Linked DNA regions of Ovis aries. The protein of the gene in region 1 binds, or shares a complex with, the protein of each later gene. Links are inferred from orthologs where the notes say so. Each region holds a gene or a part of one and is shown on either strand. Other genes may lie near its edges.

What was found.
Region 2: the proteins of BTK (region 1) and BIRC2 are in contact, whole or in part, in a crystal structure (PDB 6W7O), measured with the Homo sapiens proteins. The link is inferred for Ovis aries from reciprocal best matches to the Homo sapiens genes BTK and BIRC2. Residues at the interface, in NP_000052.1 of Homo sapiens: Leu483, Asn484, Arg487, Glu488, Tyr551, Ser557, Lys558, Arg562, Lys595, Met596, Tyr598, Glu599, Arg600, Phe601, Thr602, Glu605; in NP_001157.1 of Homo sapiens: Pro280, Ser281, Ser282, Asn301, Asp302, Asp303, Arg314, Cys315, Glu317, Ser318.

The regions. Positions count from the first base shown.
Region 1 is NC_056080.1:133,028,047-133,032,936, forward strand, and holds part of BTK (tyrosine-protein kinase BTK), read right to left. Parts: coding exon 4,865-4,890; intron 3,848-4,864; coding exon 3,783-3,847; intron 3,196-3,782; coding exon 3,077-3,195; intron 2,556-3,076; coding exon 2,398-2,555; intron 1-2,397. UniProt on the Homo sapiens protein: Non-receptor tyrosine kinase indispensable for B lymphocyte development, differentiation and signaling. Binding of antigen to the B-cell antigen receptor (BCR) triggers signaling that ultimately leads to B-cell activation.
Region 2 is NC_056068.1:6,039,492-6,043,686, reverse strand, and holds part of BIRC2 (baculoviral IAP repeat-containing protein 2), read left to right. Parts: 5' UTR 1-56; coding exon 57-957; intron 958-1,050; coding exon 1,051-1,150; intron 1,151-4,195. UniProt on the Homo sapiens protein: Multi-functional protein which regulates not only caspases and apoptosis, but also modulates inflammatory signaling and immunity, mitogenic kinase signaling, and cell proliferation, as well as cell invasion and metastasis.

The DNA of each region.
Region 1 (4,890 bases):
AGGAGAAATAGAAGTATTCCATAAAGTCCTTGTGTACTTTAAATCTTTAGTAAATCGGGTTATTAATGTGGTGAGGAAATTTTGAAAATTATTCTCACAAACGCTGATTGAAACTAAAGCCAAATTCATTACACCAATGCATTCTTAACAAACTTAAGTGGTTGACTGAACTGAAATCCTATAAGCTGTTATAATTTTTGTTAGGTTTCAACCACTCGTTTCTACCATCCTAAAGCCAAAGTTAACAAAGGAATGAACATGTCAAGAGCAGGAGCTGCTTCACTGGGCAGGCATCCTAAGCACCCGGGACCTCTTACTACAACCATCTGGCCTTCAGACTAAGGCCTTTTGTGGCAGCCATGGTCCATAAGCCCATGAGGTATTTAGTGATTCAAGATATATTCATGCAAGAAAAGTCTCAATCCATCAGAACCCAGAAGTCATCAACTTTTTGTTCCTTTGAATCTGTGATTCTCAAACCTAACTGAGTATCAGAATTTCCTGGGAAGTTTAAAAAGACATACCCGAGGCCCCCTCTAGACATACCCAGTCAGAATCTCTGGAGGTAAGGCTCAGTCATCTGTAGTTTTAAGAGTTCCACAGAGATTCTGATGTGATTCCAGTTTCATGACTACTATGTTAACAGGCTGTGGAGAAAGTGCCTATCTGAAATACTTAAGTAGCAGAGTAAGGATGTGCTAGTTGGTAGAGAGCAGCAGCGTCAATTACCCTCAATCCTGCCCAGCACAGGAGAGAGAAGGGAAATGGCTCTTAGCGTTCTCCCTTTCTCCACACTTTCTTTGTGACCTGAGTCATTTGTCAAAGGGAAAAGAGCCATGTTCTGACCAAGATGCCTACTTTTCACCCCACAGGGATGGCTGCAGATTCACATACGTGCTTGCTGGACACTGTCAGTCTTTCCCTGTTGCTAAACGGGCAGAACTAAGAGCTGAGCACTCATTTCCTACTAGAGATTTAGTTTGCTAAATTAAGGTTGCCAAGGATCTATTGAAAATAGAGTAGGCACTCCTGAAGAACCCAAGGTGAGAGCAGCAAAGCATTTTAATAATAGCGGGGCAGGCTCTTTATTTGCAAAATACCACATCTACCCACATATCCCATAATGCACTGCATTAAAAAAAAAAAACCACGAGACCTACCTATTTTAGTTCTCTTTCAGGTGTTAGCATTTAAAAAAAAATCTCATTTAGGACCACAGCCAGAAAAAGTGTGCAGTTAGTAAAGTAGAAGAAAGGGCCAATGACTCCCAAAGGAATGAACACAATTTTTAATTAGTTTTCTTTTTTAATGTACATACACTTGTCTGAATGCCTCTGGCTGCCTACTTATGCTAGGTGACATGGCCCCATGACACCCCTCTCCCTAGAGCCGAGATGGTATTGGAGTAACACGACCCTATGGCAGAAAGTGAAGAGGAACTAAAAAGCCTCTTGATGAAAGTGAAAGAGGAGAGTGAAAAAGTTGGCTTAAAGCTCAACATTCAGAAAACGAAGATTATGGCATCTGGTCCCATCACTTCATGGCAAATAGATGGGGAAGCAGTGGAAACAGTGTCAGACTTTACTTTTGGGGGCTCCAAAATCACTGCAGATGGTGACTGCAGCTATGAAATTAAAAGACGCTTACTCCTTGGAAGGAAAGTTATGACCAACCTAGATAGCATATTGGAAAGCAGAGACATTACTTTGTCAACAAAGGTCCACCTAGTCAAGGCTATGGTTTTTCCAGCGGTCATGTATGGATGTGAGAGTTGGACTGTGAAGAAAGCTGAGCACCGAAGAATTGATGCTTTTGAACTGTGGTTTTGGAGAAGACTCTTGAGGGTCCCTTGGACTGCAAGGAGATCCAACCAGTCCATTCTAAAGGAGATCAGTCCTGTGTGTTCATTGGAAGGACTGATCCTAAAGCTGAAACTCCAATACTTTGGCCACCTCATGCAAAGAGTTGACTCATTGGAAAAGACTCTGATGCTGGGAGGGATTGGGGGCAGGAGGAGAAGGGGACGACAGAGGATGAGATGGCTGGACGGCATCACTGACTCGATGGACATGAGTTTAAGTAAACTTCAGGAGTTGGTGACGGACAGGGAGGCCTGGCATGCTGCGATTCATGGGGTCGCAAAGAGTCAGACACGACTGAGTGACTGAACTGAACTGAACTGAACTGAATGATCCTCTAGCGATAATTGGAGTGGGCCTGGAAAAACTTCTGGTCATGAAAGGATTGGAATGTAGGCTGGGGTTTGAGAATGTGTACAGCTATCTGTCTGTGCTCAGTTGCTATATGGCGAGGAAGAGTAGGTTGTGGGTGCTTGGTCAGCTACATGGGAAAGTACGTTCAAGGAAATAATTTAAGAGGTCCCACTAAAACACTTACCTCATGCCAGCAGCTGTACATGATGGCATATACCCTCTCCGAAGCGAGATGAGGCCTGTAGAGACGCAGGCCTTGGGCAATGTGCTCAGCTGTTTCACTGTTAGTAAATCTCTCATATGGCATCTTCCCCAGAGAGTAAATTTCCCACATCAGCACCCCTAGACAATGAAAAAACAAAATGTGTTGTTTCTAGGTAGGAGGGATCCTAGTGTTCCTAGATCAACTTCAAACATTACATTCAGCTCGTTCCACCCCCCACCCCACCCCTGGGCTTTTTTAAAATTTTGTTCAAACTTCTGCTATAGTACTGAGTACGCTGGAGGTAATCAGGATTGCCACGGACCATTAGTTCCTCTAGGAGAGAGACAACATCTTATTTGTGTTTGTGGTTATAGAGTCTGGCAGAGTCCTTGGTACATCATTAGTATTCAGAAGCTGTGGAATACTGAATGAATTGTTTGTTTCCCTCAATAGATTCTAAGTTCTAAGAAGGCAGGAATCGTGTCTACTTTACTGTTTTTAATCCCCAGAAACCCCTGTGGTGCCCGATTCCCTAAGGATTAGATGAATGAAAGCAAGAACAAATCACAGTCTCTCTGTGCAGGTTGCAGAGTGTGGATTTCCCAACAGCATTCATTTTCTTTTGAGCTGTATAAGCCATGTAATCGTATCCACTCACCAAAAGCCCAAATGTCAGATTTGCTGCTGAACTTGCTGTACATGAGAACTTCTGGTGGAGACCACCGGACAGGAAATTTGGAGCCTACTGAGCTTGTATATTCATCATCCAGAACATACCTGCAAAGGATTCAGGACTTGTTGCTGTTACAATTTGGAGAGTTTGATATTTGCTTAAAATTTCTTGGCAGAGCCATAAGAGTTGCACAAATACTGCAGGCGAACCAGTGTCTTTTACAAATGCCATTACTAACATATTCCTCTTTTCATATCTGACTTAGCTTTCCTGATTGACAGTATAGATACAGCAAGGATGAAGTGGAATAAGGTCTAATAGGTATTCCCTTCCCTCTTTTCTCTTTTCCCATCCTTCCCTTCCTTCAATCCTGCAGTCAACAATGGCAATTAGGCTCATTAGGAAAGGAGACAGAGTAAAGTCAACAAGATTAACAGAACAAGACAGAATATTGGGGAAATTAGCTTTTTAAAAAAAGAGAAAGGAGAAAGGAGAAGAGAGGACTATAACAATAAAACAGAAGGATGAAAAGTGACTTAAACCATTCAGAGAAAGAAAAGGTATAGAAAGATGGTGGAAAAAACTAGAATTATAGGGGGAAAGGGAGAAGATTAAAAGTTACAGTGTCACCTCACGTTTGTACTGTGCCAGTTTTACTTTTAAAGGGAAAGGTGAAAAAGACTGCACTCACCTGGACAGGCCAAAGTCAGATACTTTAACAACTCCTTGATCGTTAACCAAACAGTTTCGAGCTGCCTGTAGTGCAACAGACACCAGTGAGACTCTGTCCTTGGTGCACAGGTTAAGGGCACAAAGCTTCTGTCCACCAGAGGTGGGAAGCCTCATCTCCTTTATCTAGACACACCTTCCCACCTAACAGGAGTCAGCTGATGCCACTGAGGAATTTCGATATACTTCCATCACATATAGAGCAACCCCCATAATAAGTAAAGCACTGAAGACTTGAAGCATGATTTCACTCACACTGGTAATTCCATGACAACCCTTCGTGCGTTGAAATGTCGAGAGAATTAAGGGAGAACAGAAGGCAAGTGTGTTTTGTTTTCTGCTTTTCTACCGACAGGACTAGGGCTATTTCCGCCTTGGCATGGCTGGAATAAATATGCCCCGGGAGGCCAAGCAGGAGAAGTGATAGAGTGAAGTGGGTAGGTGGAGATGTCAGGAAAGTGTCTGGTTTAAGGGAGGCCAGCCACTTTCCTGTGATCAGCTAGACCATCCTGTAATACCAGGCCCATACTTTATAGGCTGACAGTTAACATGGCCTATGAGAATATGGGTCTGTTGATACAAGATGATGTCAATTTTCATGGGAAGCTGTAAATTCAGTTCTTTAATGTGAAATGTTTTTAAGTGTTTGGTAACTAATAATATAACATTTAAAAATGCACCAACAGACACCCAGTTTGTGACTCTGATATAACCAGAATGATGGTCCTGTGCTAAAAAACAGTTCCATCAGGATGAGGGCTGCCCTTCTGTCCCTGGAGGACTCCACCATTTCCTCGTCATAGTAGGAGGGGCTGCGAGTGACCATTACAGCTCCCATTGTGGGGAAACTTATGGTGTTGAGGCTGGAATTCCTTGACCAGCTGACCACTGGGGCAGAGGCTCACCAAACTTTTAGTATTTTCTAGATGAAATTGAAATCACGGCTCCAGCCACCTTCCTCAGCCATGGATGCATGATGTGCCTTCCTGTGCTACTTCCGCCCCCCTCACCCTTGGACCCAGACCAATCCTTCTGAGATCCTACCAGGTCTCGGTGGAGGAATTGCTTAG
Region 2 (4,195 bases), on another chromosome or scaffold:
AAGAGAAGAAAAATTTCATGTAAAGGATTTTTGCTGTCAAAAAGTAAAAATCACTCATGCACAAAACTACCTCCCAAAGACTTGTCCTGGATCCCTCGTATCGAAAAATTAAGAGTGTGATGGAAGATAGCACAGTCTTGTCAAATTGGACAAGTGGCAACAAACAAAAAATGACATACGACTTTTCATGTGAGCTCTACCGAATGTCTACATATTCAACTTTCCCCACCGGTGTTCCTGTCTCAGAAAGGAGTCTTGCTCGTGCTGGTTTTTATTATACTGGTGTGAATGACAAGGTCAAATGCTTCTGTTGTGGCCTGATGCTGGATAACTGGAAACAAGGAGACAATCCTATTGAGAAGCATAAACAACTGTATCCGAGCTGTAGCTTTGTTCAGAATCTAGTTTCTGTTACTAGTCTGGAATCCACTTCTAAGAATGCTTCTTCTCCAATGAGAAACAGTTTTACTCACTCATTATCACCCACTTTGGAACATGGTAGATCATTCAGTGGTTCTTATTCCAACCTTTCACCAAACCCTATTAATTCTCGAGCAGTCGAAGACTTTTCCCCACTGAGGACTAACCCCTACAGTTATGCCATGAGTACTGAAGAAGCGAGATTTCTTACTTATCAAATGTGGCCATTAACCTTTCTGTCACCGTCAGAATTGACAAGAGCTGGCTTTTATTATATAGGACCTGGAGACAGGGTAGCCTGTTTTGCCTGTGGTGGGACGCTAAATAACTGGGAACCAAAGGATGATGCTATGTTAGAACACCAGAGAAATTTTCCCAACTGTCCATTTTTGGAAAATTCTCTGGGAACGCTGAGGTTCAGCATTTCCAATTTGAGTATGCAGACACATGCAGCTCGCCTGAGAACATTTATGTACTGGCCATCTACTGTACCAGTTCAGCCCGAGCAGCTTGCAAGTGCTGGTTTCTATTATGTAGGTAAGAGAATGTATAGCTGTATGTTTTATCTAGTTCATTTTGATTAATATATTAGAACACGTGTGTATTCAGTTATTCTTGTGTTTTCTTTAGGTCGCAATGATGATGTCAAGTGCTTTTGTTGTGATGGTGGCTTAAGGTGTTGGGAATCTGGAGATGACCCATGGGTAGAACACGCCAAATGGTTTCCAAGGTAATTGTTTTGAAAGGTATTTGTATATACAACTCTGTGTGTAAAAGATGTAGGCATGTTTGTGTATTTTAAGTTTACATTTCAGTATAAGAAAGCTTCTTTATACCATTAGAGAATTAGCCTTTTAAGACACCAAATTGTAACAGTTATTTTGGTAGAAAAATGTAGAATATTCTGTGATTTTTTTCTTTTATAAACCATGTGTTCAGGATATAATTTAACTTATTCTTGATGCCTCATTCACAGTTGTGGCCATACATTACATTTATGTATTTTCCATTTTGTTTAAAGTATTATAAAAATATGTAAAGTAGAGCAAAAAGGCGATACATTAGGAAAAGATAAGGAAAAAGAAAAACAAGGGACATTAAATGAATCTAGGAATAGGACAAATATAAAAATGCATATAATAAAAACCTAATTGTATAATCAGTTTTAAGTGATTATAATTGTAAATTATTTTTTTCTGTACAGTTTTATCTTTTTGTGATATGTCATGTATCTCTCTTTAGTCACTCTGTTTCTACCAGTATGTCCTATTTTTTTTTTTACTATAGCCTGGAAAGAATTTAGAGGCAGTGCTGTGGGTGGAATGTTATTGAGTAGTTGTATGAACTTGGACAAGTCATGTGACCCCTTTGAGCCTTTCCTCATCTATAAAATGAGGAATTTGGAATAGGTAATACTGTCTTTTTAAAAAATTATAAAATGTACATAACATAAAATTTGCTATTTTATCCATTTTTAAGTATACAGTTTTGTGGCATTAAGTACATTCACCTTATTCCTCATTCATTACTACTGTCAATTTCCAAACATTTTTTATCTTCCCAAACTGAATCTTGTATTCATTTCATTAATTCCTTATATTCCCAGCCCCTGGCAACCACCATTCTACTTTCTGTCTCTGTGAATTCAACTATTTTAGGTACTTTATAAGAGTGGAATCATATCATATAGATAATGTTTCGACTGGTGAGTGACTTTCCTAATAATGAGGAATCTCTAAATTTTTTTTTTTTAGGAAAAATCATGTTTTATTGTCATAATTGTATTTATTTTTGGCGTCTCTGTGTGGCTTCTGGGATCTCAGTCCTTATTCAGGGATTGAACCTGGGCAACAGCAGTGAAAACACCAAGTCCTAACTACTGGACCACCAGGAAATTCCCAGTTGTCAGAATTTTAAATGACTTGATTGTCCTTGGCTCTACGAGATTGGCTTATTCTGTAATTTGGAATTTAATACTATATTAAAAAGACAAAAACAGCTTTCTGATTAACAGTGTTTCATTTGCTATAATTTTTCCTTTAGAAAACAAGACCAAACAAAATCTTGGTTTACTTCTGTAATTAGTGTTTTGCTTGAAATGGTTACATAAGGGAAAAGGCCAGAAGTACTTTTTGTAAACACTTCTGAAAACAACAAATTTCAATTGTGGATAGTCTTTCATCTCAGAAAATGAAAATCCAAAGTGGATAATCATTATCATTGTATTTTTAACACAGTTTATTTATTCACTTATTAAATATTTGTATGCCTACTAGCTACTATTTTACTTCTGTTATTTCTCTCTCTTTTTTAAAAATTATTATTTTTTCTTTTTTTAAAATTAATTTAATTTTATTTTTTTAATTTTAAAATCTTTAATTCTTACATGCGTTCCCAAACATGACCCCCCCTCCCACCTTCCTCCCCACAACATCTCTCTGGGTCATCCCCATGCACCAGCCCCAAGCATGCTGCACCCTACGTCAGACATGGACTGGCGATTCAATTCTTACATGATAGTATACATGTTAGAATTCCCATTCTCCCAAATCATCCCACCCTCTCCCTCTCCCTCTGATGTTATTTCTCTCTTAACATTTTTATTCATAATCATTCAAAAGAATTTCCTTTTTCATAATTACTAATATTTACACGACAGTGTGGAATCAAATGAAAAGTCAATCCAAAGCAAAACGAAGAAGAACCAAATTAAAGAGAAAGGCAAAAATTGTGGTACTGTTATTACATATGAGGTTGAAACTGGTAGATAAAGGCTGATTTTGCAGCAGACCAGTAAGAATACTGGGATCCTGTTGATTGAGCATGATAATTCATGATAGTCACAGCATTATCTGGTGGCAAGAGTCTTAGGAATAAGTAGTTAGAAGTAACAGTGGAAAATCATGATGATCTTTTTTTCCCCCTTCTAATATCATTTTTTAAAAATTGAAATACAGTTAACATACATAATATGTTTCAGGTGTGCTGTGTCCTGATTTGATGTTTGCATATATAATGTTGTTACCATGATAAGCCTAGTAACCATCTGCCCCTATACAGTTATTGCAATATTGTTGACCATATTAAAATTTTTTTTTTTCTTTGAAGTATAAAAATTGCTTTTGGCTTCCCTTGTGACTCAGACAGTAAAGAATCTGCCTGTAATGCAAGAGACCTGGGTTTGATCTCTGGGTGGGGAAGATCCCCTGGAGAAGGGAATGTCTGCCCACTCCAGGATTCTTGCCTGGAGAACTCTATGGACAGAGGAGCCTCGCGGGCTACAGTCCATGGAGTTCACAAAGACTCGGCCACGACTGAGCGACTAACACTTCAACAACAAAGTCATAATTGCTTCTAACCACATTGTTTTTGCTGTATGTATATTATGTCCCCATGGCTTATTTATTTTATCATTGAATTTTATATCTAAATCACTTTCACCTATTTCCCTATATGCTTGTGAATACTACTTTAGATGCTGGAGATATTAACAGTGAATAAGATACGACAGAAATCTTAGTCCTCATAGAATTTATTGGAAGGAGGAAATATGGAGCAGCCAATGTTCAGTATACTTCCTATCTTTAATCATTATAAGTTAATCCCAGAATAAAAATAATTTAGACCTATATTAAGATCAGGAACAAGCTGTGTTCTCGGCATGATGACTTGAGTCATGAGCATGTTTACATGATCTCTACTAAATCTACCTCAGTCACCACCTGAAGGACATTGGGTTGTTTCCATTTTGGAGCAATAATGAGTAAAGCCACTC